Notamacropus eugenii: one gene and its partners. The protein of the gene in region 1 interacts with the protein of each later gene in a pairwise test. Links are inferred from orthologs where the notes say so. Each region holds a gene or a part of one and is shown in the gene's direction. Other genes may lie near its edges.

What was found.
Region 2: the proteins of EFHC2 (region 1) and TSSK3 interact in binary tests that used the Homo sapiens proteins (3 or more experiments, as listed by UniProt). The two-hybrid records come from large-scale screens. The link is inferred for Notamacropus eugenii from reciprocal best matches to the Homo sapiens genes EFHC2 and TSSK3.
Region 3: the proteins of EFHC2 (region 1) and CLIC3 interact in binary tests that used the Homo sapiens proteins (3 or more experiments, as listed by UniProt). The two-hybrid records come from large-scale screens. The link is inferred for Notamacropus eugenii from reciprocal best matches to the Homo sapiens genes EFHC2 and CLIC3.
Region 4: the proteins of EFHC2 (region 1) and EDC3 interact in binary tests that used the Homo sapiens proteins (3 or more experiments, as listed by UniProt). The link is inferred for Notamacropus eugenii from reciprocal best matches to the Homo sapiens genes EFHC2 and EDC3.

Annotation. Positions count from the first base shown.
Region 1 is NC_092876.1:429,907,975-429,915,333, forward strand, and holds the start of EFHC2 (EF-hand domain-containing family member C2), read left to right. Parts: upstream 1-4,217; 5' UTR 4,218-4,296; coding exon 4,297-4,338; intron 4,339-7,359. UniProt on the Homo sapiens protein: Microtubule inner protein (MIP) part of the dynein-decorated doublet microtubules (DMTs) in cilia axoneme, which is required for motile cilia beating.
Region 2 is NC_092876.1:77,515,176-77,522,541, reverse strand, and holds TSSK3 (testis-specific serine/threonine-protein kinase 3), read left to right. Parts: upstream 1-4,704; 5' UTR 4,705-4,815; coding exon 4,816-4,960; intron 4,961-6,042; coding exon 6,043-6,704; 3' UTR 6,705-6,757; downstream 6,758-7,366. Other genes in the region: protein FAM229A, read right to left, coding at 3,317-3,422, 3,726-3,872, 3,965-4,116. UniProt on the Homo sapiens protein: Serine/threonine protein kinase required for spermatid development and male fertility.
Region 3 is NC_092872.1:493,021,244-493,028,545, reverse strand, and holds the start of CLIC3 (chloride intracellular channel protein 3), read left to right. Parts: upstream 1-4,248; 5' UTR 4,249-4,381; coding exon 4,382-4,522; intron 4,523-5,426; coding exon 5,427-5,536; intron 5,537-5,696; coding exon 5,697-5,822; intron 5,823-6,745; coding exon 6,746-6,852; intron 6,853-7,302. Other genes in the region: ABCA2 (ATP-binding cassette sub-family A member 2), read left to right, coding at 61-267, 722-757. UniProt on the Homo sapiens protein: In the soluble state, catalyzes glutaredoxin-like thiol disulfide exchange reactions with reduced glutathione as electron donor.
Region 4 is NC_092872.1:241,459,121-241,466,841, forward strand, and holds the start of EDC3 (enhancer of mRNA-decapping protein 3), read left to right. Parts: upstream 1-4,636; 5' UTR 4,637-4,718; exon of another isoform or gene 4,719-4,722; intron 4,723-5,444; exon of another isoform or gene 5,445-7,721. UniProt on the Homo sapiens protein: Binds single-stranded RNA. Involved in the process of mRNA degradation and in the positive regulation of mRNA decapping. May play a role in spermiogenesis and oogenesis.

The DNA of each region.
Region 1 (7,359 bases):
AAATATTTAAAGAACAATTAATTCCAATGCTATATAAACTATTTAGAAAAATCAGCAAAGAAGGAATCCTATCAAATTCTTTTTACAGCAGAAAGATGATACTGATACCTAAACCAGGAAGGGCAAAAACAGAGAAAGAAAACTATAGACCAATTTTCCTAAGGAATATTGATGTAAAAATTTTAAATAAAATACTAGAAAGCAGATTATAGCATTATATCACAACATATCATTATGAGCAAGCAGGATTTATACCAGAAATGCAGGAGTGGTTCAATATTAGGAAAATGATCAGTGTAATTGACCGTATCAATAACAAAACCAACAAAGATCATATGATTATCTCTATAGATGCAGAAAAACCTTTTGATAAATACAATACTCATTCTTATTAAAAACACTAGGAAGCACAGGAATAGATGGAGTTTAGATTAAAATGAAAATTAGTGTCTAAAATCATCAGTAAGTATTATTTATAACAGGGATTAAGTTAGAAGTCTTCTCTGAAAATCAGGAGTGAAGCAAGGATGCCTAGTATCAGCATTGTTATTCGTTACTGTTACAGAAATGCTAGCTATAGCAATAAGAGAAGAAAAAGAAATTGAAGGAATAGAAACAGACAATGGGGAAACAAAAGTATACCTCTTTGCAGATAATGTGATGGCAAACTTAGAAAGTCCTAGTGAATTAATAATAAAAAAACTAGTTGAAACAATGAACAACTTTACCAAAGTAGCAGGATATAAAATAAACTCATATAAGTCATCAGCATTTCTATATATTACCAACAAAGTCCAGCAGCAAGACATAGAAAGAGAAATTCCAATTAAAATAATTATAGGCAATATAAAATACTTGGGAGTCTGCCTGACAAGACAAACTCAGGGATTGTAAGAACACAATGACAAAATACTTTTTACACAAATAGAGCCAGATATAAACAAGAAAAATATTAATTGCTTGAGTAGGTTGAGTCAATATAAAAAATGACAATTCTACCTAAATTCATTCACTTATTCAGCTGCATGCCAATCAAGCTACCAAAAACTATTTAATAGAGCTAGAAAAAATAATTGCAAAATGCATCTGGAAGAACAAAATGTCAGGAATATTAAGGTATTTTAATGAAAATAAATGGAGGACAGCCTAGCCATGCTAGATCTGAAACTGTATTGCAAAGAAGTAATTATCAAAACAATATGATACTGATTGAGAAATAGACTGGTGGATCAGTGGAATAGACTAGGTACACAATACACAGTAGTAAATGACCATAGGAATCTAATGTTTGATAAATGCAAAGATCCAAGCTTTGGGGAGAAAAACTCACTATTTGGAAAAAAAAACACTGTTGGGAAGACTGGAAAGAAGTTTGACAGAAAGTAGGTAAAGAATGACATTTAATGCTGTCCATAGGTCCCCAAAGTGGGCAATACTGTCCCCTGAATCCAGAGGGAGGTATTTTTTGAAATGATGAAAATTTAAAAACAATAGTAGGAAAAACTCAACAAACCATGAAAGGATTAAAGAAAGTAGATTGCCAGGGGGGCACTTTGTAATTTTTTTTTGAAAGACCAAGTAACTTTGGGAACTTCTGTACCAAGATAAGATCAAAATGTGTACATGAGTTAGACATGAAGGTGATACCATAAGCAAATGAGAGGAGCATGGAATGGTTTCCTGTTAGATCTATGGATAAAGAAAGAATTATATTACCTATCAAGAGATAGAGAATATTACAGGATGTAAAATGGATACTTTAGATTATATTAAATTAAAAGCTTTTTTGTGCAAATGAAACCAATGTAGTCAAGATTAGAAGGAAAGCAAAAAAAAATATTTTTATAGCAATTTTCTCTGATAAAGGCCTCATCTCTCACATATAAGAGAAATGAGTCAAATATTTAAGAATAAAAGTCATTCCTCAACTGATAAATGGCAGAAGGTGGTATGTGAACAGGCAGTTTTCAAATGAAGAAATCAAAGCTATTTTTAGTCATGTGAAAAAATTCTCTAAATCACTACTGATTAGAGGAATGCACATTAGAACAGCTCTGAGGTATTGAGTAATACCTGTCAGATCGGCTAATTTGAGAGAAAAGAAAAATGACAAATGTTGGAGGGGATGTGGAAAAATTGGGACACTAATGAACTCTTGGTGCAGTCATGAGCTGATCCAACCATTCTGTAGAGTAATTTGGTATTACACTCAAAGGACTATAACACTGTGCATACCTTTTGACTCAGCAATACCACTTCTAGGTCTATATCCCAAAGAGATTTATTTTATAAGGACCTCTATGTATCAAAATACAGTCCCTCTTATTGTGATGGCAAAGAATTGGAAATTGAGGGTATGCGTATCAATTGGAGAATGGCTGAAGAAGTTGTGGTAGAGAATTTTGATGGAATACCATTGAACCATATGAAATTGTGAGCAAGATGCTTTCAGCAAAACCTGGAAAGATTTACATTAATTGGTACTAAATGAAGTGAGCAGAAACAAGAGAACACTGTGCACACTAACAGCAATATTGCATGATGAACAACAGTGAATGACTTAGCTATTCTCAGCTATACAATGATCCAAGACAATTCCAAAGAATTTATGATGAAAAAATGCTATTTACCTCTGGAGAAAGAACTGATGAGGTCTGAAGACAGATTTAAGTATACTTAAAAAATATTTTTTATATTTTTCTTGTTTTTTTCGGAGGGAAAGAGAAGCTGTGTTTTCTTTCACAACATGATTAATATGGAAATATCTTTTGCATGTATATATGTAACCTATATCAAATTGCTCACCTTTTCAGTGAGGGTTGAGGGTATGGTGGGAGAGAATTTGGAACTCAATATTTTAAAAAATGAATGTTAAAAATTTTTACACAAAATTGAAAAAATATTTTTTATAAAAGGTAGAAAGTGGGAGCAAAGAGGTCAGTTTGACTGGAAGACAGAGGGCATAAAGGAGAGTAATGGACAACAAGGTAGAAAAGTACCTAGAAAAGTAGATGGGAGTAAGATTATAAATGGCTATCAATACCAGTGTACAAGTTATTTTATCTTAGAGGCAACGGGGGGAATTAGAATTCTTTGCACAGGAGAGTAACATGATTATATTCCTGGTTTAGGATACTTTGGCCAATGTGTGGATGGTGAATTGGAGAAGGTGGAGACTTGAGATCAATCAGGGGGCAATTAAAATAATCCAGGTGAAAGGTAATGATGGATTCCATATGGTAATGACCATATGGAAGGAGAGAAAGGGAACACAAGATCATAGGACTTGGCAACTGATTGGATATAGGAGGAGGGGGAAGGTCTGCGAAGGGTCAAAGATGATTCTGAACTAATTTAGAAAGAAGGGTGGTTTGAGGAGAAAGATAAATTCTGTATAGGACATTTTGAGTTTGAGCAGTCTGTGAGAGCTCCAGTAGGAAGAATCCAATAGAGATAGTTGGGACTGGAACTCCAAAGTGACCACGAGTGGATTTATTAAATATGTAGCAGTTTTGTGTAGATGAAACATGATATTCCTGTGATCACAGGACGCAGGTCTGTGCAAGTACAAGTTGGGAATCTTCCTACACGTTTGTGTGAGTCGAGTCAGTCAATAAAAACTCTATTATGTATCAAGTACTGCACTCAATGCCCTAGATACGTTGTAAGAGATACCTTTTACAAGGTAAAAGACTATCCATGCTCTCCAGCTCACAGTCTAATGGAAAAAGACGATATGCAAACAGCTATGTACAATCAAGCTATCTCCAGGATAAAATGGAGAAAATTAATAGAAAAGCGTCAACAAGCATCTACTAAGAGCCAAGAGCTTATATTATAGAGCATAGGTGGGTGGATAGAAAGCCTGGATGCGTTCGCATGTTTAGGAGGAATACTGTTGCTGGAATGAGTAAGATAAGATAATAATGGCAATAAATGAACTCTACAATTACAACAGACATTGACACATCATGTGATACATAGTAACATTTACACATTTTAAGGTTTACAAAGAGCACATCTGTATGGCTTCATTTGCAAACATGGAGAAGGGACACACAGCTGGGAAAGTCAGTGCGGAGTGAACTTTGGAAGGCTGGCATGGGTCAGAAGGGCACGAATCCCTCCGAGCCCTGCCCATGTCCGGGAGTCAGGGACCAATCTCCCCAAAGAGGCCACGCCCCCTTCAGCCCGGTGACGTCAGAGGCGGTCTCTAGGCAACGGGACGCTAAGCACTCTCTGCCTCCGGGGGAGCCTCTCGGCAGCGTCCTCTCGGCCCTGCCCGGACCCCGCACCATGTCCCTTCCGCTGCTGCCGGGATATACCTTCAACAAGAACGTGAGTAAAGCTGGCTGGGGAAGAAGGGGCACAGGCCCGGCTGGGCATGCTGCGGAGAGGAGCCGGGCACTGGAGGGCACCCACGCCGGCGACGACCGCGGGCTTCCTGCAGCTGCTCCTTAACGCCCACCCCCAGGAGCGGTTTAATGCTCCGGGGGACACCCACCCCGAGCTGCCCTGCCGCCGCCCCGCTCTTCGGAGCGGGCGCACTGCCAGCCGAGTGCGTGGGCAGAGGGGCGTGTTGGCTGGTTTTGGTTGTTTGAATATCTCTCAGTTTCTCTCCTTGTGTCTCACAACGCCGCAGCGCCCCCAGGGCAGAGGGAACCAACGTGATTTAGGTGTGTAATGCGACGTGGTGAGAGAAAGTCAGCAGGGGCACACGTAAAGCCTACCGCCACCCTTGTGTTGGTGGGCTCGCCCCATGCCCGAGCAGCCCTGCCCCCCACCTCTCTGTGCCATCTGTGCAAGTCACGGCTGTATACATTAACATAAGAGGAATGAAAAAGTACTTTGTCCTCCTTCCTTCCTTCCTTCCTTCCTTCCTTCCTTCCTTCCTTCCTTCCTTCCTTCCTTCCTTCCTTCCTTCCTTCTCTCCTTCCTTCCTTCTTTCCTTCCTTCCTTCCTTCCTTCCTTCCTTCCTTCCTTCCTTCCTTCCTTCCTTCCTTCCTTCCTTCCTTCCTTCCTTCCTTCCTTCTCTCCTTCCTTCCTTCTTTCCTTCCTTCCCTCCTTCCTTCCTCTTTCCCTTTCTCCATCTCTTCCTCTCTTTCCTTCCCCTTTCTCCCTCCCTTCCTCCCATTCTCCCTTTCTCCCATCCTTCCTTCCTTTCTTCCTTCCCTCCTTTCCTTCCTTCTTTTTTCCTTCATTCTTTCTTCCCTCCTTTCCTCTTCCCCTTTCTTCCTTCCTCCACCTTCCCTTTCTCCTGTTCTTCCTACTATCCTCCTTTTCTCCCATCCATCCATCCTTACTTTCTTCCTTCCTCTTTCCCTTTCTCCTTCTCTTCTTCTTTTCCCTTCCCTTTTCTCCCTTTCTCTCACCTTCCTTTTCTCCCATCCTTCCTGTTTTCTTTCCTCCCTTCCTCCCATCCTCCTTTTCTCCCATCTTTCCTCCCTTCTTTTCTTCATTTCCTCCTTCCTTTTTTCCTTCCTTTTTTCCTCTCTCCCTTCTTTTTTCCTTCTTCCCTCTTTCCCTTTTGCCCTCTCCTCTTTTTCCTTCCCCTTTATCCCTTCCTCTACCCTCCTTTCCTCCCATTCTTCCTTTCTTCCGTTTTCCCTTTCTCCCTCCCTTCCTCTTTCTCTTTCTTCCTCTCCTCTTTTTCTTTCCCCTTCCTTCTTCCTTCCTTCCTTCCTTCCTTCCTTCCTTCCTTCCTTCCTTCCTTCCTTCCTTCCTTCCTCTTTTCCTTGGTCTCCCTCTCCCTATCTCACCTCTCCTCTCTTCTTTTTCTTTCCTCTCTCCTTTCCCTTTCTCCCCTTTCCCACTCTTCCCTCCCCTCTGCCTCCCTATCTTCTCCCTGCTCTTTTCCATCCTCTTCCTCCTCTCTTCCCTTCCATCTCCCTTTTTTCTTTCTTATCCTCTATCCTTTTTATTTTTCCTCCACAGAAGAGTTTGTTCTTGAACTTTTTCTTCTGGTAATGGTCAACCATCTAGTAACAGAAAAAAAGGCACGTATAAGCTACTTTATAAAAAACTTATGTTAGAAAGGTTTCATCTTGAAACATTCAGATTTATGGTTTATGGACAGTGTGTTGTACCCCCTGGGTAGACTAATATTGTTAAATATTTGCCTTTACGCACATATCTGGTTCTGTCCTTTGTAATCCATTATCTTCTTGGATCCTCTGTGTATATAAAATGACATCCTGAAAACTTCATGGGCCTTCATTTCAGTCTAATTAATTAAAACATCTATTTCAATAATAAAAGACCAGAGCATGAAAAAAGATCTTGGGTCTAAAATGTCATTGTGATAAAAATGGACAACACCATCCTCCAAAGATAATAACATGAAGTTATTTTAGGGGTCCTCTAGGCCTAGTCTAGCATTTACAGATGTTATAATATGTGGAAAGGGAAAGTGTTGTGGGTCAAGATGAAATTTTTTTTTTAATCTGAAAGCCTGTAGTAAATTTGATTTTTTAAAAGACATTTCAGTTATTAACTTTTTGCTTGAGGCCAGCAGGATTTTATTGTGGGACTTGGAAATGGAAGGTTACTTGTCCAATAGTTCGGGGAATGAATCATTCCAAATAGTTAGACAGTCAGTAAACATTTATTAAGTACATACTTCTTATGTTCCAGGCACTGTGCTAAGTGCTGGGGATACACAAAGAGGAAAAAGGCAGTCCCTGCCTTTAAGGAGTTCACAATCTAACATTTTTGTTGTGTGTTCACTATTTCAATGTAATTGAATTTTCGTCTTTCTGTCCTGTTATTAAGTGTACTGCTGTGTACTTCTTTATATTTTTGGTAATATTTATAAAATTCATATTTTGGATAAAGACACTGTGACTTAGTAGAGAGAATATTGAACTTGGAATCAGGATACCTGGTTCCTACCTCCAATGCTTATTAGCTAGTATGACGAGCCTGATTTTTCTCATCTGTAAAACAGGGGAAAATAACACACTAAATATGAATTATTAAGGTGTGGAAGTAAGCCTTCCACATATAATGGCCAGTAGATTAAGCCTCTTGATTATTATCAGTAAATGAAAACCTTTGTCCTCTTTCTTGTAGCATCATTACCTTGCTCTATGGGTATAAAATTAGGACCAATGCCAATATGTAAAGTTTATTGTTTTTAGGGAGAGGAGAGTGTTTTGTAAAAATCTTGTGATTTCATCAGTGTGAGGAATGCCCTTCACAGCTGATCTAGCATGGTGCAGTGGGAAGAGGGCTGAGCCTTGAGCTGTGGGACCGAGTCTAGACCTCAGCTTCCTCCTCCCCTCGTATTTTTCCAGAGATTTCTGGAGCAATGAGAAATGAACTGCCTAAAGTCACACAGGTAGTGTGTGTCAGATGCAG
Region 2 (7,366 bases), about 350 Mb from region 1:
GATAACCCCACACCTCAATCCTGGGAAACAGAGGGGAAAGGCTAAAGGACAGAAGAGTTCATTTGAACCTAGGGCAAGATGAAAAGAAAGGAGAGAAACACAGAGAGTGAGATATCAGAAAAAGGGGGAAGATGGAGACGAGGGAAAAGGAGAATGGAGAAGAGGTAGAAGAGATGGGAGGAGACAGGGGAGGAGGAAAAGAGGAGGAGAAGGGAAGTTCCTTAGGGCAGGGATTGTTTTTGTCTCTGAATCTCCATTGCCCAGGACATACTATATACAAGAAGGAAGGACTTGGAAGAGAAGATGGGAATGGAAAAGGGAGAGAAGAAATAGGCAAGATGAGAAAATAGAAAAGGGGGAGAAAAGTTGAAAGGAGGTAGAATGAAGAGAGAAAAAGTCACAGAACCTCATAGCAGAAAGGGACCTTAGAAGTGATCAAGCCAAACCTTTATTTAAAGAGGAATCCCCCTTTTGACACCTCTAACAAAGGATGATTCAGACTTTAAAGATATCTCCCTCTAGAAGGGGAAATCATCCCTCCCAAGGCATCCCATTTCGTTTTTTTGTCATCACCCTCCCTCCCCCATTATAACCATCTCTCTCATCTCCCCTGTCCACTGAAGAAAAACAAAACCCTTGTAACAAATATTAATAATTGAGCAAAACCAATTCCCACATTAGACATGCTTCAACACTGGTCTTCTAGAATGTGGAATCATGGTTGGCCATCAGAGTTCTTTAGTCTTTCAAAGTTACTTGTCTTTACAACGTTGTTATTACTGGATACATTGTTCTCTCAGTTCCATTCATTTCACTCTGCATCAGTTCAAACAGGTCTTACCAGGTATCTCTGAAACCTTCCCCTTTATAATTTCTCCAACAGGCAGGCACACATTTCCAGTTCTTTGCCACGCCAAAAATTACTGCTATAAATATTTTTGCATAGAAGCTTATTTTATTTGGGGGATAGTTCTAATTGTTACGATTGTATTGAGTGGAGATACCTACATGATTTATAACTTTGCAATTTCCATCTACTCATCTCAAATCTGCCTCAAGAGAGCCCTTCAAATACTTGGAAGACATTTATGTCTTCCATTGCTCTTCTCATATCTTGGTATGACACTGGGAAAGTTTTAACTTCTCTAAGCTTTATTTTCCTGATTAATAAAATGAGGATAGTATTTACATCAGAAGATTGTTTTAAGGATCAAATGAGTCTAAAGAACCTTATAAACTTTGAAGTATTAGATAAATCTAAGCTCTTACTGTTATCATTACCTGTAACATTGATTTTTTGAACCTAAGTGTAGAACTTTGCATTCATCTCATTGTCACAACCATCATTTTTTAAAAGTCACAACTAAATTAATGCCAGTTACATTGCTTTACATGAAAAACTTACAATGATTTCTCAATGTATACTCCCCACTTTTTGATACAAGTATGACTGCCCAGTGTTCTAACTTGTCAATATATTTTTGGATCATGCTTCTGTCATCCAGTGGGTTGTTTTGTGCCCTCTGAAAATGTGATAAACATGAAATCTATGCCTTTATCTGGATCATTAAAATATAAAGGAGCACAGGCTGAAGCAGACTCCTTACTCTACTAGACAGTCACGAGAGAACTTCCTATTGATGTTAAAATGGTTTGATGTCAAATCATTGGTGGCCGCTCTATTCAACCAGTTCCAAATTGATCTAATCATATTACCATCTAGTCCACAAGGACTTTGCCAAATGCTGTGCTATTTATCCAGAGCATTCTTCTGATCCTACCAGTTCAATAGCTCTGGTCAGAAAGGGAAATGTGGTGAGTCAGGTCATCATTGTAGTGTGGTTCTTTGTAATGCCTGACCACTTCCTTTTCTAGGTGAACAGGTTCTAGAATTTTACTAAGAATCAAAATCAAGTTCAGTGGCCTATAGTTTGGAGGTTTCATTATCCATTCAACTATTTCAAAAAATACTGTCAAAATATAGGTCCTTAACCCTGCTCATAGTTTCAAGGACCTATTGAAATACCACCTAGAAGTTTTCCCTCATCTCTTCCTTCCTTTCCTCTTTCCCCTAGCTGTATGTGCTCTCTTTTTCTTCCCCAGAGTACAGAGTCTCATCTTTCTTCAGATAGAGGCAGGACCTTTAAAGTCCTTTCCAAGTCTGGACTTTGAGTCTGAGTCATCCCCTTTTCCTGGGATTTATTCCATCTGAGACAACAGGGTCTGATTCCTGTGTCCCCCAGAGCACAAAGAACTAGATGGAAAGGAAAGGAAAGGAGGAAGGGAAAGGAAAGGAGACCACAGGGAGTAGGATCACAGAGTTTTGAGTGGGAAGGAATCTTAGAGGTCTCATTTGACAAGAGAGGAAACTGAAGTTCAGAGGTGTGGGGAGGAAAACCAGAATGGAGGGAAATAAGAGAAAAAGGGAGTGAAAAAAAACTTTTAGAGGGAGGAAAGGAAAAAAGAGAAAAGACTGTCATCTACTTTGTCTGCTTTATTTCATACTCCCTTTCAGTTATCTTCCCACTGACTGGTTCCTGGGCATCTCCCTCCCTCCAGACTATGTCCCAGGCTTGGCATCCTATAACTTTTTGGTCTCAGGCCCCTCCTACACTCTTAAAAACTATTGTGGGCCTTTCCTCCCACCTCAGCTTTTGTTTATGTGGGTTAGAGTTATCAATATTTACCTTTTTGAGAAATTAAGTTTTAGTATGATTATGAAAATAGTTTTGTCTCTTGGACTCATCAAAGCGTCTCAGAGACCCTAAGGACATCCCCGCCCTACTATATTTGAGAACCCCTATTCTAAGGGGGAGGAGTTGGGTGCTTCCTCTGTTAGGGAGCCTTCTGCGATAATGCCCCTTCGTTGCCAGCACTCTCTCCTCCCTCCAGTTGTCCAGGACTTGCTTCTTCAGGGCACTTTCAATGTGGTCCCTCGTGCCCATCCCGCCTTGGTTGGCAAGCTCCTTTAGGGACCGTTTCACACATTTGCCCCGGCTGGGTACAAAGCCCTGCACGCAGCGAGTGGCTACTGTAAAGGCTTGGTGAGCTGCATCGCCTGGCATTGCCTGGCATTGCCCTGAATTTCGGGGGAGGGCGGCCGGGCTGAAGGACAGACGGACAGACGCACACACACACGCAGCCAGCCCGGATTGTAAAGAACAGTGTAAGCTGTGCTTTTATTAAAATGTGCATCATTCTTTTATTTTAAAATGTGCATCATTGTCTCGTGCTCGGCGCGCGCGACCTCAGCGCGGTGTCCCCGCGGCCGGCCCCGCCCCTGCCCGGCCCCCTCGGAGCCGTCGCGCAGGCGCACTCAGGTGGCGCGGGCCCGGGGGCTTCCGCCCATTGCCAGGTAGACGTCGATGGGCACGTGCAGCAGCGTCAGGCAGTGGCAGCCAGGGCAGCGTCGCAGTGGCCTGCTGGGGAGGGAGGCGAAGGGGGGAGGGGGCGCACAAGTTGGGGGTTAGAACCTCCCGGCCCAGGCAGAGGTCCAGTACGGCTGCACTTGGAGTCGGGAGCTCCCAGTTCGAATCCCGGTCCTATGCCTGGCCCTTCCCTGGGTCTCAGTTTTCACACTTGCCAAATAGGGACGGGGCACGGGTGACACCTGAATGCTTTCCCCCTCCCCCCCAGCTCTAAGTCCTATGCCGGGATGGCCCGGGGAGGGGGCGAGAAGGAAGACACGGGTCGGACCGCGCCCTGGGCGCCCCTCTAGCCCTCACCTGACCGGGGTGTGCTCTGTAGCAACGGGCTCCGCGCTGTCCTGGGGCTCGGGGGTTGCGGCCAGGCCGGGGGAGTCTCCGGCCTCAATGGGGAATCTCCGACCTTGCGGGGGCTCCTGGGCGCTCATGTCCGGGCCCCGGGAAGCTCTGCGGGGAGCAAGGCTGCGCTCAGCTCCAGCCCCGGACCTCCGTCCCCGGCCCCGCGCTCGTCCCCGCCCGCTCCGGCCTGGGATCCTCACCTGCTGGAGGCCGGAGCCGGTCCCAGGCGGGAAACAGCTGCCCGAGCCCTGGCCGCGGGAGGACGCTCTGGTCCAGGGGTAGCCGGGCAGGTGTCTGGGGCAGCGGGGCGGGGCGCGCGGCGGGACCGGGCCGTCGAGGGCGCGGGCTGCATTGTGACCCACGGGGCGGGCGCGCTGACCTCACAGTGGCGGGGGGCCGCGGCCCGCCCCGGGCCCGTTCCTCCGGGCGGGGAACCCTCACTGCTCGGGCGGGACTGCGCGGGTCGGGCCGCCACTTCGGGCGGGCCCCGGCGGGTCGTGGCGGGAGGGCCGCGGGGCCCCGGGGGCGGCCGGCCCGGGACTGTGCACGCTGCGGGGGCGCCGGGCGGCGTCCAGGTCGGGCATAGACGTTCCCGCGGCGCGGGTCGGCGCGGCCGGACTCCGCTCGGTCTCGGCCCCGCTGGACGGCGGCAGCCCGCGATCTTGCTCTTGCAGGCGCCCACCGAGGCACGGGCTGGCCCAGCCGCAGCTCTCCGCTGGCCGGGCGATGGTGACAATGCCAGGGCCGAGGGGCGGGCGAGGGGGGCACTGCCCATTTTGGTAGCCGGGGCAGCACCGCCCCCCCCACCCCCGGGTCACTTGTGCCACATCAGTTTACATCACAATCGGGGCCCGAGTTTAAAACTGTCCGGCCCCCGCCCCCTCCCCCACCCGCGGCTGTGTCCGGACGGAGAATGTTCTAGCGCTGGGGGCGGCTGCGGATGAAGTCCTGGGGGGGAGAGGCGCGGGCCGACGGCGATGGTGGAGTAGAGCTGCCTCGCAGAGGCAGGATGAGCTGAGGCGGTGACGGGGAAGGAAGGAGGAGAGACAGCATGGAGGACTTTCTGCTCTCCAATGGATACCAGCTGGGCAAGACCATTGGGGAAGGGACCTATTCAAAAGTGAAGGAAGCATTTTCCAAAAAACATCAAAGAAAAGTGGCAGTTAAAATTATAGACAAGATGGGAGGGCCAGAAGGTGAGAACGGGCCTTCTCTCCTTCACCTGAGCCTGTCGGAGCACCCCCCACCTTGGAGAGCGGGCGAGGGGAGGGGGGCCCCGCACTCTGATCCTCCAGCCTGGGCAGGGATGGGAGGGGGCGGCCCCCTCTTCTGGGGAGGAGGAAGGACGTGCACAAAATTGGAGGAGGGCAGCCTGGGGAGCTGGCTCCTTTCCTACAGCTCTTCTGCTCATGCACGTGTTGGCCGGAGGCTCCGGCGTTATGGACGTTGCAACTTGGCTCTTCCAAGGTGGCAGCTCCCCTCGCTCCTTGGTGCATCCCATCAGGTGTGTCGAGATCATGGCCAAGGGGCCCTGTGCTCTAAAGGGTCCTAGAAGCAGAGGTACCCTCAGCCCGAGGAGGGGGAGGAGGACAAGGCCAGCTTAATGGAAAACAATGGGACTGGGCACTTGGTCCTGAAGCAACGATAAGCGATAGTGTGTGTATAACCTTGGGTTTGGTCTACTGTCTCCTTCAAGTTTCCCCATCTATGAAATTGGGCTAATGCCACCACTTTACATTTATATAGGACCTTGCGGTCGGGTTCTAAAGTGCTTTCCAGGGCCAAGGTCCCTCCAGGCTGATCCTCCTAACCACCTTGTAAGGTAGGAAGTGCAGGCACTCATAGAGATGGACCCCCCCTCTTGATTTTACTGATGAGAAACAGACTCCCAGAGAGGGGAAGTAGTTTGTCAAGCCACACAGCTAGTTCTAGGGAAGAGTTGGGACTACTGCAGGACTATCTGCTCCATGCTGCTTTCCTGGAGGCATAAAATGGGAGTTGCAAGAAGCTCCCATTTTGTTGATTAAGAAATTTGCGCCTTAGAGAGGCTGTGTAACTCCTAGGTCCTCCCCACTGATGTACACGTGAGAGGACTTTGGAAAGCTGAAGCAGTGGTTGAACCAGGGGAAGGCCAGCTATGAAGAGAGCCCATCTCTAGGCCAAGCACAGTATGAAGTTGGGGCGGCAGCACCACAGGGATTGCATGTCCATGTCCTGTGTGTTTCACTGTCTGATCGTGCTGCTGCCCCTTTACTTTCTTCTCTCTCGTTTCCCACAGAATTTATCCAGAGGTTCCTGCCGCGCGAGCTCCAGATCGTCCGCAGCCTGGATCATAAGAACATCATCCAGGTGTATGAGATGCTGGAGTCGGCCGACGGTAAGACCTACTTGGTGATGGAGCTGGCTGAGGGGGGAGATGTCTTTGACTGCGTGCTGCACGGTGGGCCTCTGCCAGAGAGCCGGGCCAAGGCCCTCTTCCGCCAGCTGGTGGAGGCCATCCGCTATTGCCACGGCTGTGGCGTGGCCCACCGAGACCTGAAATGTGAGAATGCCCTGCTGCAGGGCTACAACCTGAAGCTGACTGACTTCGGCTTTGCCAAGGTACTGCCCAAGACACGGCGGGAGCTGAGCCAGACCTTCTGTGGCAGCACAGCTTACGCTGCCCCAGAGGTGCTGCAGGGCATCCCCCACGACAGCAAAAAGGGCGATGTCTGGAGCATGGGCGTGGTCCTCTATGTCATGCTGTGCGCCAGCCTGCCCTTCGATGACACAGATATCCCCAAGATGCTGTGGCAGCAGCAGAAGGGGGTGTCCTTCCCCGGGCACCTGGGCATCTCGGCTGAATGCCAGGACCTGCTCAAGAGGCTCCTAGAACCAGACATGATCCTCCGGCCTTCAATCGAAGAAGTTAGTTGGCATCCATGGCTAGCAAACACTTGATAAAAGCAATAGCAAGTCCTCCCCAATAAAGCAGGGGAGAAAGAAAACCCAAAGTCTGCTTCTGAAATGGTGATGTATATTTTACACTTTACACTTGCCTACCCTATAAACTCGTCCCCCCTCCCCTTTCTCTTTTCCCTTAAAAGACCTTCATGGAACCAAGGGCTTCATTCAGACTTCCCATTTATCATGCCTGATGGGAATTTTTATACAACAGGTGTTTAACTAAAGTAAATTAAAATAGACCCCAGAAGCACACACCTGGGGGAGGAGGAGGAGAAAAGTTACCAGGAGAACTATGGGATCTACACCGCTGTTGCAACTTCCTTTCCAAATAAAAGCAGAAGCATTGGGAATAATGCCGAAAAGGCCTCGACTCCTTGTCTCAGTGAGGGCCAGGCGTCTGCCTCGTGGGCAGCATGTCCAATGGGCCCTTTCCAGGTGTCTGCCTCTTGGGCCCTTTCATGCAGGGTCCCCATGCCAGGGTACTGAATTGCCCCAAAACTGAGTGCAAGGGGTGACAGGGACTCTGCTCCAACCACAATGCCCATACCCTGGCCAGGACCACTAAGGGGTAAGGGGGACAAGAACAAAGCCCCACACGCTTCTGACTAATGTCGAATGTCTTTAATAGCTGTTAACTGCAAGTCTGCAAAAGGTTC
Region 3 (7,302 bases), on another chromosome or scaffold:
ATGGGTCACTGGTATTCATTGGTACAGCATGTCCCAGTCTGCTTTTCCTGCCCACCCCAGGTATTCGTGAACTTTGCCAAGAAGCAAAGTGATAACTTGGAGCCCCAAGAGACAGAGCCAGGTTGTGCACTGCAGTCCCCGCTGGCTCGGCTGCTCAGTCTGCTCCGACCCCGTCCTGCACCCACAGAGCTCCGTGCTCTGGTAACAGATGAACCGGAGGACCTCGATACGGATGATGAGGGGCTTATCAGTTTCGAGGAGGAGAGGGTGAGGCTTGGGCTTTTTGGCAAGTGTGCCGTGGGTGGGGTTCACATTGCTATGGGCACTCTAACCCCCAGAGTCTGGGGCTCAGGGCCAAGGGCAGAATCTAGTAGTTACTATAGTAACAGCCCCTTGAGGCCTCTCCCTCCCTATCTTCTCTTCTGCCTGATGCATTCAATCCACCTAGAGACAGAGATGGTGAAAGGGACAGAGGGACAGAGACCCAGGGATAGAGAATGATAGAGAGGCTAAGAGAGATCCAAAGTCATAGCTTAAATCATGTTCAAAAACAGAGGTCTTTGGACTCCAAGATCAAGGGAGACAGAGATAGAGAATGAGAGACAAATAGGCTGATTTGATGACAATTTAACAGAAAGTGACAGAGGAGGAAGTGAGAGGGAAAGACTCAAATCAAGCCTGGAAGTCTGACCATCCGAACCCTGTTGTCTCTTCCCAACAGGCCCAGCTTTCTTTCAATACAGACACTCTCTGCTGAAGGAACTTCAGAGGCCTCAGCTCTCCATTCCTGGATAACCAACTTTCTTGTCCCCTTATGCTCAAACCTCCTTAGAGCAGCCCTACCTTCCCTGGCCTGTTTTGGCTGGGACAGAGATTCAATGCCAGACAATTGGGAGGGAGGTCTTAGCATTGCCTACCCACCCAGCTCCCCCACCCAGGAGGGTTGGGAGAAGGAATTGGTGATATATCGTGCAACTTGAATTCAGTGCCTGGAACTTGGAGCTAGTTTTAGAGGGCGGTAGAGTTGGGGAGATTGGTGGGTGTGGACAGTGCCAAGAGCTAGGCACAAGAACCCACCCCAGGATCCTAAAGGAGCTTTGGAGGGTGGGGAAAAGGCTTGGATCTGATAGCAAGGGCAGTTCTTCACTCTGGTAGACCTCAGATTTAGAGATGGGGAATCTTCTAACTACATTATAGCCCAGGTACCCCAATCTGGAGTGAATACTAAAAACCATACCCACTCTTTCCCCTTCTCTGGCCCAGCCAGTGCCCCTCCAGGACCAACCTGCCTGGTGATCTTCAGGATCTCCAACCAATGATTGTGCCAAAGGGACAGTCCTGCTGTGCCCCAGGGTGTGGGCTGGGCACTCATGTGGCTCTGCCTTACAGTCACAGCAGCTCTGGCCAGTTACTCTGCTCACTTCCCTGGACTCTGATAGTCCTATCCCTGATCTCAGCCTGGCCTGCTTGGCTCTGCTTCTGATGGTCAGTGCCACTCATCTCGCGTGTGGTTAGAATCCCCACTGGCACTGATGGCCACAAAAAGACTGAACTTTGACAGCCCAGGAAATATACCTGGAGGTTAACATGAAGGCTTGAAAAACGTGAAAGCTGTGTGGAGGAAGAGGGGCATGAGTCTCCTCTGTGGTCTTAACCCTCTAGAACATGATCCTGATGGACCTGTGTAACACAATACTTTCTTGGCTCATCAGGCATCTGGGTAGGAGGGGTGTGTGGTGTGTGTGTGTGTGTGCGTGTGTGTGTGTGTGTGTGTGTGTATGTGCGCACACGCTGGGGTTATGGACAGATAACTGCTTTCCCCCTAAATTCGACTCTTCTGCCCCCTGGATTTTAATAACACCTCTGCTAATGCTGCCATAGCTGCCATGCCGCCACCACCCAGAGGCTCCAGTGCTGGATACCAAATGGGCTGCCCGCTAGCCTGCCCAACCACCATGGCCCAAGTCATTGACTCTGGCCAGGGTTAAGTGGGATGTTGGGTTTGTTGTTTTCTTTTTAACCTATTTATTTTGCAATAGGAAGAAGCACTTGTCAGGGGTGGGGAAGATGGAGGGAAAGTGTGTACACAGATGGTAGAATGACACATTGGCAGCTTGGATACAACTGTAGGGGAAATAAAAGGAGGGGAACTCCCCTTTCCAAGGCTGAAAGCAGCATTCTCTGCATCCTTCAGTTCCTGTTCCTTTACAGGGCCTGTGCACCCAGGAACCCTGAAGGCTGTGGGCAAAGGAAGAGGGTGGAAGGACCTGGTGTCTAAAGAGCTTGACCTTTGCCTCTGAATGGCCTCCAATCACCTTTTGTTACATTAGGGACGGGGGAGGGAGAGGCTTGGTAATGGCATGGACAGTGTGGGGGTCACATGGGCCCCACTCCTTCCTGAGAGCAAACTGCCATGGCCACTTCCCAGCTATTTGCCCATCCCTTCCCCTCCTCATCCCATCCCTAGCCCTGCCTGAGGGCAGGTGAGGGACTGGGCTTGTACATAGTTGGGGAAGCAGATCGGGAAAGATGTTTGTTTTAAATAAAAAGGGAAAATATCAAATCAGTCAAAGATGCTGCTCTGTGTGTGTGTGTGCGTGTGTGTGTGTGTGTGTGTGTGTGTGTGTGTGTGTGTGTGTGTGTGTAGGAGTGGGAGCTGGAGAAATCAGTTCCTGGGGAGGTTAAGAACACAGAACCCTTCTGTGTGTGGGAGGATGGACAACTGGAGATGGAGGATGAAAGTCCCAAATCCAAGAGTTGATCCGACTTCCCCTCTGCCCACCCCACTATGAGCATGCCAGGAATGTACCTGCCACACCTCAGAGGAGGGGCCCCACCTAAGGCAGGCCTGACCCCGGGAAGACTGGACACCACAGAAAGGCAGCTTTTTGGAGGAGTGCCTGCTTGGGATGAGAGGCAGTGAGGGAAGTCTGACTTTCCAAGTCCTTGCCAATTCCCACTCTGGGTGTTCAGATTGAGTTGGGGGGAAGGTAGTTGAGGGCTGCCCTGACTCCGCTTTCTTCCATTCTCTCTCTCTCTCTGGTCCTAGAAATGGAATAGGGTCACCTACTCATCACTCCCAAAGCGCTGAGCCTTTTCACCTCTTGTACCTGTACCTGCCACCACTCACCCCGATCCCCCTTACAAAGTCAGTGACCCAGTCACAGGCACACTCTCCACCTCCCAGCAATGACACGCAGTCTCTCAAGGCCCCACCCGCCCGGTGCTGGAATTGCAGAATTGGTCTCCTTTCTTTGCCCGCTGGCTGGTAGCCACCAGCCCAGGTCCCAGTCCCTTGCGTGCTCTTTACAGTAGCCATAGACTCGAAGTCACCCTGGAATCCCACAACTGGGCAATCTCGCCCCCCCCTTCCCGGGCTCACAATCCTCCCCCACAGGGTCAGGCACCCGGTCTTACACAGACTCTAGCACACTGAGCTGCTCTTCTGGGCGGGGTAGGGTAGGGCGGAGCAACCCGGGAGCTTTAAAGAGCCCAAAACACAGTCTCCACCCAGGGCGGCTGCTTCTATCCTGCCGGACACCATGGCCCAGAACCCGCAGCTGCAGCTGTTTGTCAAGGTGCCGGGGACCCATCCCAGGGAGGAGGGGAAGCGGGATCGGGGGTGGGGGGTCGGAGGGAGAAGGAAACAGTGTCCAGGGAACAGGGGTGTGAGTGAGACTCCAGGAGGGCTGTCTGAATGTGGGAACTGTAGTTTTCTGTCCCGATTCGAAACAGAGCTGGGAGGGGGGGGTAGGGGTAGAAAAGAAGGGAGGTGTTGTGGTGGTTTGAAAACGGAAATGAATGCTTTGAGAGAGTTTTAAGAAGGTTGAGATGAGGAGGATGAAGGTCAGGGAGAGGGATCTGGGAACAGAGGACAGTGGGAACTACTTTCTGCCAGGTGCAGAGTCTTTGGAAGGAGTGGCTGAGTCTCCCCGCCTCCCACCATCTCCCTATTCCTTCTCCACTTTTCTACCCCCTTCCCTCTTTTCCTCCCCAAAGAAATCAGAGTGGACCCTGACAAGCTGTGGGGTAATGGAAAGAGAGCCTCCAGGGAGTCCACAGTCGGGTAGATAACCATGATCCCAGAAGTCTGAGGCTCCAGTCTCTCCCAATAGACAGGGCAGCCCCACAAATGACCAACTTTCACATCCAGAGCACTGGTTCTCTAGCCTAGGGTTCAAAGTAGCTTGTCCAGGACATCGGGGTTTGGCTAGAATTAGGATGGTGGATGGGATCGAAGGGAAGGAGAAAACTGGGAGAAGGACTTGGGAGCAGATGCATTGGAGACTGTTTCTGCCAAAGGCAGGATTAAAACCAAGTGGTATCAGCTTTTTGAAGAGAGATACTTTGTCCCCATAGCCACACACCTTCTGAGAAAAAAATGAGTGAAAGAAGACGACAGAACCCAGGAGTCTGGATCTCAGTTCTATCTACCCCCCATGGGGGGACCTTGATCAGGACCCTGGCTCAAACTCCTGTCCAACTCTCACTGCCTCCAGGGCACAATTATCCTTCTGACTGGGTAAAGCAGCAGGACTAATACTCTATATATAGGAAGAAGCCTTCCTGCTAGATACCCAGACCAAGGCTGTGGCCTTCACCAGGGGTGGGTGGGAGTATTCTGTGATGGTTGGCACAAAGAAGATGCCACATGGATTTGTGTCCACCCTGTACCCAAGATAAAGGAATTATGCTACAGCAGGTGATCCTAGAAGGTGTCCACCATCACTTGCAGACCCTGGCATGAACTTCAGGGCAGGGTAGACACAACAGAGGATAGGGACAAGGTGGAATGCAGGAGTACCACATCCTCAGAATCTGGGCCAAGCATCCTAGGTTGAAGGCTCCTGCTTCTAGGCTTTACTCCACTGTGGGCATCAGTGGGCGTGCTCTTCCCATAATGTTCCACTGGCAGTGCCCAATGCCATAAGGTGAATCATTGAAAAAACAGTTTGGTCAGAGTTGGACTGGGCCCCACCCTGTACAGCCCGTCTGCCTGGTGACACTGAGATGATGCCCAGGGGCCTACAGTTGATGGGGAAACAGCATGTGCCCATTTCCTTGGTGTCAGTGTTGTGTCCCCCCCTGGGGTGTGGCCCTTTCCCTGGCGCCATGACAGCCCATGTGGGCACAGTGCCAGGCTCCAAGTCGCACAGACTGTTATTCTTCCTACCCCTTAAGGGCTCTCACCTCCCCCTTGAAAGAAGCCCCACCCAGCCCTGTTGATTTTGAGAGGCTGTCCTCACCCCTGAACCTCTTTTAAAAGATGTGGGTGAGGGGCACTGCTTAGGCCTGGAAACATGTCCCCTGCCAATGGCCAGAGTTGACCTGGTTTCCTGCATTCTCTCTCACCAAACTGGATACAAATCTTGCCACCCTTTTCCTCTCCCGGAGGCTTATGTAAATTCTCTTCTGCCTCCCCCTAGGCCAGTGAAGATGGTGAGAGTGTAGGGAACTGTCCCTCCTGCCACCGGCTCTTCATGATCCTGCTGCTCAAAGGTGTCCCCTTCACTCTCACCACTGTGGACACCAAGAGGTAAAGACTGAGTGACTGACTAGAACTGGGGGTGAGGAAAACTATACCCCACCTTTCCCACCATCTTAGCCTGTTTCTACCTGAGGCTACCTGTCCTGTGTCCTGGTCCCCATCATGCTCACTTTCCCTGTGCCAAAGATTTGGCCCTACCCCATTACAGGTCCTTGGATGTGCTGAAGGACTTTGCCCCTGGCTCCCAGCTGCCCATTCTGCTGTGTGATGGGGAAGCCAAGACAGATACCATCCAGATTGAAGAGTTCCTGGAAGAGGCATTGGGGCCACCCACGTAAGAGTCCAAGTGGTGGGTATGAGGGCACAGCCAGGAAGCAGGATCAATGAGCAATGGAGCAGCTGTCAGAGAGGGTTAGAGCTGGATATATCTAACTGATCATATAGTCTGACTCACTTCTGTTACAGAGAAGTAAAGCAGGGGTCAGCAAGAAGAAGAGACTTACCCGAGGTCACGTGGGTGGTTAGTGGAAGAATCTGAATTTGAATTCAGGTCCCCTGTACTCTTCGCTTTATAGTAAAGTGCTGCTTTCTATTTATTACCCCAATTCTGGTTCCTCTTCCCATTCAGATCTACTCTCAGGGAGGGATCTGATCATATTTTTTCCAAGGCAGATTCTTTACTGAGGACAGCATTGAGTCACTGTCTAATCATACCAATGAGGGTCTTGTCCTTTAATAAAGGACAAATCCTGTAGTCATGGAAGATAGCTCTATTCCTCTTGGGGAATCCCAAGGGGGGAGTCATAGGCATTGGCAGCAGGTGAAGGAGGTATGTTTTGGAGAGGTGAAGGGGAGATTTCCCATGCTCTCCCATGTCTAAAAGGGAAGTCTGAATGGGAAAATAGAAATTGCTTGTTGGATGACCCCAACCAGGACCGGGGATGAGGGGCAATTCTTATCTTTCCCACAAGTCTGTTTTCTCTAGTTTTCCTCTGCGGCTGAAGGGAAGGGCAGGGTAAGGGAATAATTATTTATATAGCACCTACTATATATCAGGCAACATGCTAAGTGATTTAAAAATAACTTAGGCAGCATAAAGAGAGGAGGGGAGTATATTTGAGGTTTGATAACAGGGGGATGCTGATGGGAGAAAGGGAGGGAGAACACCACCACCACCACCAGGTGAAAGTGCTTATGGCCCCAGGAAGGAGCCATGGGGTCTCCCATTTGTTTCTTGACACTGTCTTCATCCTTCAGCTACCCTAGCCTGGTTCCTCTCTATAAGGAATCTAACATAGCCGGTAACGATGTCTTCCACAAGTTCTCAGCTTTCATCAAAAACACGTGTCCTGCTCAGGATGAAGGTGAGTCTTCAGGCTGGGCAGATTGTGCCCTGGGGTGGATAGGCTGTTCCCAGGTGGGTCACGATGTGTCCTGGGGGAGGGGAGTGTGAAGGTGAGTTCGTCGAATTCAATTCACCAACATTTAAGTGCTTGTCACTGCCTTTGCCGAAAGTATGGTGTACTAGGATATTGGACACATATGCAGGCCTACTTCTACATAATAAACGTATTAAAGAGAAGCAGAACAAAGTTCTGTGAGACCCTTGACTCAGGAGTATCAGGAAAGGCTTCTTCATGGCGAAAGTGCCATTTGAGCTGGGCTTGAGGGATAGATAGGATGTCTGATGAGGAAGGAAGAGAATCCAGCCACAAGAAACATTGAGAAAGGGCAGAGGTGGGAGGGCATGTCAGGTTTTGGGGAGGCAGCATAGATCCCTTTGGAGTATAATGTGTGGAGGTGAGGAATGAGAT
Region 4 (7,721 bases), on another chromosome or scaffold:
CAAACAACCACCACAATCTCTGACTCATACCGTCTAGCTGATCCTAGCAAGCCAGTTATATTTCTATTGGTTCTGGCTACTCTCAAAGACTATAACTTGCTGACCGGTTGCTGTGTTAGTAGAAGGAATTCCTTCCCTAGGAATTTCCTTCACTAATGAAACTAAAGGTTTAGTCAAACACACACATACATACATAGAAAACAACCATATAAGGTACTAAATGAAAGTTCTCATTCTCAAAAGGCTTACTTTCTACTAAGTGTGTGTCTCTCTGTACGTGTATTGGGGGAAGCAGGTAGAACTTGTACAAAGGGACCTTCAAATGTCAGGTATGAGCAACAGAAAGAAGGCAGGTGAGCTTGATCTCAGAGCTCTGGAAGTGGGAGTAAGTTCAAGTAATCCAAGATGGCCCTTGAAAGAAGCTATTGTTTTGATGAGGTAGAGAGGTGAGGCAGAAGCAGATTCCAGGCAAGCAGAGTAGTCTGTGCAAAGGCAAGAGATACTGGAGGTGGAATATTGAGTTCAGGGACCTGAATGGGCCAGTTTGGCTCAGATAGAGCACGTGAAAGGAAGAAATATGAAACAAATCTAGAAAGGCACATAGCCTTTCAATGTCCACCATGACCAGAGACTTCGTATTTTATCCTAGGGATAACAGGGAGCCACTGATAGGTCTAAAGCTTGACAGTGATGTGGTCAGTCTTGGAGAACATGATGCTGCTCAAGCGCAAGACACAGGGATCAGGAGGCACTTGACCATTTGCAGTTTCTCTTTTCTGGTGGCTACAGGGAAAGGAGGAGTTGGCTTATGGAATGATATCTCATTCCCATTCCCTTTGCTTTATAACCTGATTTGGTTTTTTTTAATAGTTTTTTTTCCTAACTACATGTAAAAGCAATTTTTAACATTTTTTAAAATAAAATTTTGAGCTCTAAATTTTCTCCCTACTTCCCTATTCTCCCCCCTCCCTAAAATGGTAAGCAATTTGATATAGATTATATATGCAATCATGTAAAACCTATTTTCATATTAGTCATATTGTGAAAGAAGAAACAATCTGTAAAAAAGTACACACACACAAGTGAAAATAGTATGCTTCTATCTCCATAGTTCTTTCTCTGGATATGGATAGCATTTTCCTTCCTTAGTCCTTTGGAATTGTCTTGGATCATTGTATTGCCAAGAAGAGCTAAGTCCATCACAGTTGATCATTCCACAATGTTGCTCTTACTGTGTACAACGTTCTCCTGGTTTTGTTCACTTTACTCAGCATCAGTTCAAGTAAGTCTTTCCAGGTTTTTCTGAAATCTGCCTGCTCATCATTTCCTATAGCACAATAGTATTCCATTACATTCATATACCACAGCTTGTTCAGCCATTCCCCAATTGATGGAAATCCTCTGAATTTCCAATTCTTTGCCATCACAAAAAGGGCTGCTATACATTTGTAAACATGGATCCTTTTTCCATTTTTATCTCTTTGGGATACAGACCTGGAAGTGGTACTGCTGGGTCAAAGGGTATGCACAGTTTTATAGCCCTTGAAGCATAGTTCCAAAGTGCTCTTCAGAAAGACTGGATCAGTTCACAACTCCACCAATAGTGCATTAGTGTTCCTTTTTCCCCATGACCTTTCCAACATTCATCATTTTCCTTTTCTGTCATATTAGCCAATCTGATAGGTGTGAGGTAGTACCTCAGAACTGTTTTAATTTGCATTTCTCTAATAATGATTTACAGCATTTTTATAGGACTACAGCTTTGATTTCTTCATCTGAAAACTGCCTGTTCATATCCTTTGACCACTTATCAATTGGAGAATGACTTGTATTTCTATAAATTTGACTCAGTTCTCTATGTATTTCAGAAATGAGCCTTTTTTCAGAAACACTTGCTGTAAAAATTGTTTCCCAGCTTTCTGCTTTCCTTCTAATCTTGCTTGCATTGGTTTTGTGCAAAACTTTTTAAATTTAATATAATCAAAATTATCCATTTTACATCTTGGAATGCTTTCTATTTCTTGTTTGTTCATAAGACCTGACAGGTAAACTATTCCCAGCTCTCCTAAATTGCTTATGGCATCACTCTTTATATCTAAATCATGTACCCATTTTGCTGGTCCCTGTTTTTTGAACAGTGAACTATAACCACAGGGAACTGGGATAAAACTGGACATAGGTCAAGTTATCTGGAACACTTAGATTACAGACAACCAGGCTGATGCTTTGTCCAGTTGAGGTGCTAGTTAGGGTAAGATCACTGTTATGCAAGTTTTAATTACTAGTTTGCAGGACAGAGGCACATAAATCATTAGCATGGGAGACTCCCAAGTCTGCATGCAAGTCCCTAGGCCTGCCTGAGAACTAGGGACTTGGATTCTTCAGGATTCATGGAACTGTTTAAGCCCCAGGACAGGGGTAAAGCATAAGTCTGGGAGTATCATAGAAAAAGGTGTAGTGTTACCTAGCAGCTTGATCTGTCAGGGGGAATGGAAATCCCAGGTGGGAAAGAGGAGTGTGAAACTGATCAAAGCAGGAATATATCATCACTGCAAGGCAGACATCATACAGAATCCTTGGAGCTGGGAAGCCTCTGCGCATCAGCCATCTCAGACCTCTTTGACTCTCTTGGAAAGGGAATATGTGTCTCACTGTCTGGATTCTTCTTGGATATATTCAGAGATGGAAACTCCACACCTTTCCATTATTTGCTCAGTCTAGTGTTTGTTTTCTCTCAATGAAAACAATGTAACTTCCTCCAGTTTTAAGACAATTTTCACTTGTTAAGGCTTCTGTGTATACAAAGATATGACCATGGGTTCCTGAAAGTATCATTAATCAACAAACAAGACTTTATTAAGCTCCTACTGTGTGTCAGGAGAGGCAGTATGGTGTAGTGGAGAGAGAACCACCTCAAAGACAGGAACAACTGGGTTCCAATTCTGCCTCTGATATACACTGGAAAGACAAGATTAGGCAGAGTCTGTCTGAGAAAGATCTAAGGGTTTTGGTGAACTACAAGCTCAGTGTCAATGACCAGCAGGCTAGCACCCTGAATTATTGGAGGCAATGGAGCCAGGAGAGACTGTGTCTGCAGTACTGGCACCACAATATAGGATGGATGATAAGCCGAAGAGTGTCCTGACAAGGGTTCCTTTAAGGTGTAATGAATAAAGTAATAATAAATTTAATAATATAAATAAAAAAATAAAAGGATGGCCATTTGGCCAGCTCTCTTAGACCAAAGATCCCTCATGGTGGTAGGCTCACAGTTTACATGCCCTTTGAAGAATCAGTGTTCTTGAGGGGGTGCCTAATCAGCTCTGTTTGGTTAACACAATGGGAGGTATGGGCTATATTAAAATGAAAATCTTGGGGGTAAAAGTTCACTCAAATCTTGGTCAAAGATATATCAATTTCCATATCACCTGTCTTGATAATAGGGGGACTCAACCTTTCCCTAGATCTGTCAGAGCAAACACAGTGAGCAAAAATGCATCTATCAGCCCAAACTTAGAATTTCTTTTACTGTCTGATTAAATCTTGGCCTCGGTAAATCTCTAAGAGGGATTTCCCACACTGGTTGGTTTCTGGATGAGGAAGTAGAAAAGGGGAAAAACCCTGGTCCTAATATAATAATTAAATATGAGAAATATTAATTTCTCACAGTCATGCTACACGTTGTAATGTTGATCAGCTTTGAAAAAGTTGGCCACTCTGATCATTACAATGTTCCAAGACAATTCCAAAGAATTCATGAAGAAAAATACTAACTCCAGAAAGAGAACTGATGAACTCTGAGGCAAATTGAAGTATAATTTTCTTGCTTTCTTTTTTTTTCCTTTTGTGATAAGGCTCATATGGAAAGGTTTGCATGATTTCAAACATATAATTGATATCATGATTGTCCTCCCAGTGAGTGGTAGAGGAGGTGGGAGTGAGATAATTTGGAACTCAAATTTTTTTAAATGTTTAAAATAGTAAAATAAAATGTTTTTTAAAAAGGAAAATGCCATATGAGGATAGACCGAAGGAATTAGAAGTGCTTAGACTATAGAAGACTGGGGGTGGGGTAGGGAGTTTTGGAAAGGGCTATCTCAAGGAATAAGGATTTGACTTTTCTTTTCCCTAAAAGGCAGAACTAGAAGCAGGGCGTAAAAGTTGCAAAGAGGTATATTAAGGCAAATGTAAAGAAAAATTTCATCACCACTAGGACTATACATTATGTAAACACATATATAAACATTAGAGCTGTCACAAAGTGGAATGGGGTGCGGGGAGGGGGCTCTGTAGGGAATAGAGTTCATCCCATCACTCCTCAAGCCCAGGCTGGATTTGAACTCAGGACTCTGTTAGGTCTCGCCCAGCTCTATCCTCTTCCTCCCCCACATAGACCATCACGCTCATCACCGTTTCCACTGCTCTGGAAGCACTTTAGAGTCTCTCGTTTGGTTCCCACAACCACGCTAGGAGGTTACTGCGCCCATTTGGTAGATGAAGAAACACGAAGCACGTAGAAGATGGGGTCAACCGACCGGGAAGGTTTTGGGATCCACGCCGCTCGTCTAGCCCCGCCCCCGGCCCCGCCCCCGTAGCCCTCCCCGCTCCCGGCGGCCGTTGTCCCGGTTGCCCCGGCGACGCGGCGGATGTGACGGCATGACGTCGGCGTGGGGACGCTCGGGCACTTCCGGCCGACGGCGGGCGGCGGCGGCGCTGGGGTCTGTAAGTGTGTGGGGCGGTGCGGAGGCAGCGGCCTCCTCGGCTCGCTCTCTCTCCCGCCCTCCCTTCTTCCCTGCCCCTCGGGCTCCCCCCGCCTGGGCCCCAGGCCCGGCCCAGTCCGGCGCGGTGGCCGGACCTCAGGTGCGGGCAGGCCGCGCGAGAGCGACCGACCGTACTGAACCAAGCCCGCCTCCCTCCTGCCCGCGGGCCTCGGGGGACGGGGGGAGGGGCGCAGCACCCGAGGCTTGGGCTGCGAGGGGGGCGTCTTGCTGCGAGACCTGGGCGGGTGGCTGCTCCTCTACGACCGTCGGTGTCCTTATCTCCCCAGCGAGGGGCTCGAGTTTCTCTCTGTGGCCCCTCCTTCCAGCCCTAGCCGCCCGTGGCCCCGTGGGCTGAGCAGGGGTGCTTGCGGGGGGGCCCGGAGGCTGGAATGGGAGCCAGAGATCCCCAAGGGCCCTGGGGTTCCCAACCCTGAACCACGCACTCCTTTCGGAAGGGATAGGTCCTTGCACCCATGCCGGGCGAGGACCGAGGAGGGGAGAAGTTACTCGTGAAATTCCTAACACCTGGGGCGGGGTGGGGAAGGGGCTGGGCCCGCTCCATGTGGACACCCCTCCCCCCCAAACAGTTTCCCTGCTCCCTTCCTGACGTGGTACTGATGAAGCATCTCCAAAGTTTTGCTCAGATCTGAGATTCTTGTTTGACTCCATAGTGGTTGGGTGTGTTATTCCATATTATCCTCTCACTCGTGAAATAGTTTATTCCTAAATTATGAAAGATATGATTCCAGCTTTCTTAGGAAATTTATTGTAGAATTAAAGGGATGACTAAACTGGACACTTTATTTGATCGTGGTGACTGATATTCACACCAGAGTTTGTATTTGACAGGGGCCAGTTAATTTTTCATTAGCTCTGCCTTATTCCACAGCGATGTACTGCACCACTAGCTGACTAGCTGTCTTTTATATGCACATTAATCAGAGCCTGTTGTCACTATTATGAAATTAAGTCATTCCTGTTTTATGAAGTGTGGCTTTAAGCATTGTTAGTTAGCTCCTTAATAGAGGTTTTCTCAGTTTGAAGTGAAAATGAGGTTTCATTTTTTGGGGGGGAGGGAGGAGCTGTAACTATGACCCTTTACATTTTGGGAGGACTGTGTGGCTTAAAGTAGGCAGGTCACTTAAACTCTCTGAAATCTTTGATCTGCAAAATTCAGGGAGTTGAACTACATGATTTCTACAGTCTTTTCCATTTCTAAAGCATCTGGGTCTATCAAAGGCAGATAGCAGCTCATTGTAATGAAGGATTTCCTAATAACCAGCTGTCCAGCAGTGGATTATGAGATAATTTTTACAGTTTGCGAATCCGTGAAACTGAAAGTAATGACATTCAGGATGTTATCTTTCTCTTCTTAGCTAGAGAAACAGATTTCCAGATGAGTGGAAAATACATGATTTTTCCAAAGAAGACCACTATGTGCTACATATTATATATACAGGAGCAAGTCTCTGTTTGGTCTCTATATAGTCCTTGGTAGTCCAAGATGGTGCAGCTAATTATGCTGCTGTTTGTGTAGACCTGAAGTGCCTAGTATGTTCGAGACAATAAAACAATCTCTCCCCTCAAGCTTATGTTCTATCTTCCAGCTTGTACACAGATAAGTGTAGAGGAAAATTGAGGAGGCAAAGAAATCCAGGGAGCAAAGGCATCATGGAAGGCTTCATGAGGAACTGGCGCATTAACTAAGTCTTGGAGAATGCCAAATTCTGAGGCAATGAATGCACAGAAGAGAGAAGGGATCAAGTGAAGGGAGCAACACTAGTTTGGCTAGAATGTAGAGTTCTTGAAAGGGTTTGTACAAAATAAAGCTGAGAAGGCTGGATGGGAGCAAGACTGTGGAGGGTATAAATGCCTGGCCAGAAGTTTGTGCTTTTGCCTATGGGCACTAGGAACCCCTAAGGTTTTTGAGCATGAAAGACACATGGTCAGATATTTGTCCTAGTTGTGATGAAGAAGCAGCAAATTTGTGACTTGTATATTTTTTCTGTGTGGACTACACAAGTATCATGGATCTCTACCCTCAGGTCCTGTCCTGCCTCCAGTTTGCAGGTTCTGTTATTGTTTATAACATAGCATCATTTCTGAAATTACTTAAGCTAAAAAGTAGGATTATGACTGTTGAGTACTTTGTAGTCTTTGAAGTTGTGTTTTAGATTGGAAAGGAATGTGACTACTTTAAAATAAACAAAGTATTCCATGTGCTTTGTTTTGTTTCATTAGTGGATACAGTACTGAAAGACTCAGGATATGATTTCTTCCCATGTCTAGTTTCTACTCAGATCCCTTCTGTCAGTATTGATTTTGTGTCTCTAGAACCTATCTATCCCAGGAGTACAGATTGCCCCTTGCAAGGTCTATGATAGACTGATGGCCTCCACTTGTTTACAAGGGGTGAATACAGCTACCATGTAGAGTGAAGTCCATATCCACTTAATAGTACTTTATACCAAGTAACAAGGCTCTGGTTTTTCTGTTTCCCACCTCCAGGTTTGCTCATCTTTTTTCCCTTCCTTGGAATTTGAGCCTCCTCCCAAGTTGGCTTAGTCTTTGAGCTGAAATCCAGCTACCTACTGTATCCCTTCAACCTTTTATGACTCCTGGCATTCACAGGGTTCTTTCCTCTTGATTCCTAGATCATGTATAGTTAATACCATTTATATGATACATGTCCTACAGCAAGTGCCCAGGGTGGTAGTGATTTGTGTGTGTCCTATCTCCTCAATGAGAGTGTTTAGATTGGGGTAGCATCAACAGTGGCTGAAATCGTACCTGGAGTATGATTTGGAAGTAGGGGCCAGACGGCCAGTTAGAAGGCATTTCTGTCACTGTGGAATGGAGCAGAGAGGGGCTCACTAAGCATTTGCTGAAACAAGGAAGGTAGTTGCATATTCTTTGTCCTCCCTGAGTTTACCTCAGGGTGCTCTTCCTGAACAGGCTGTT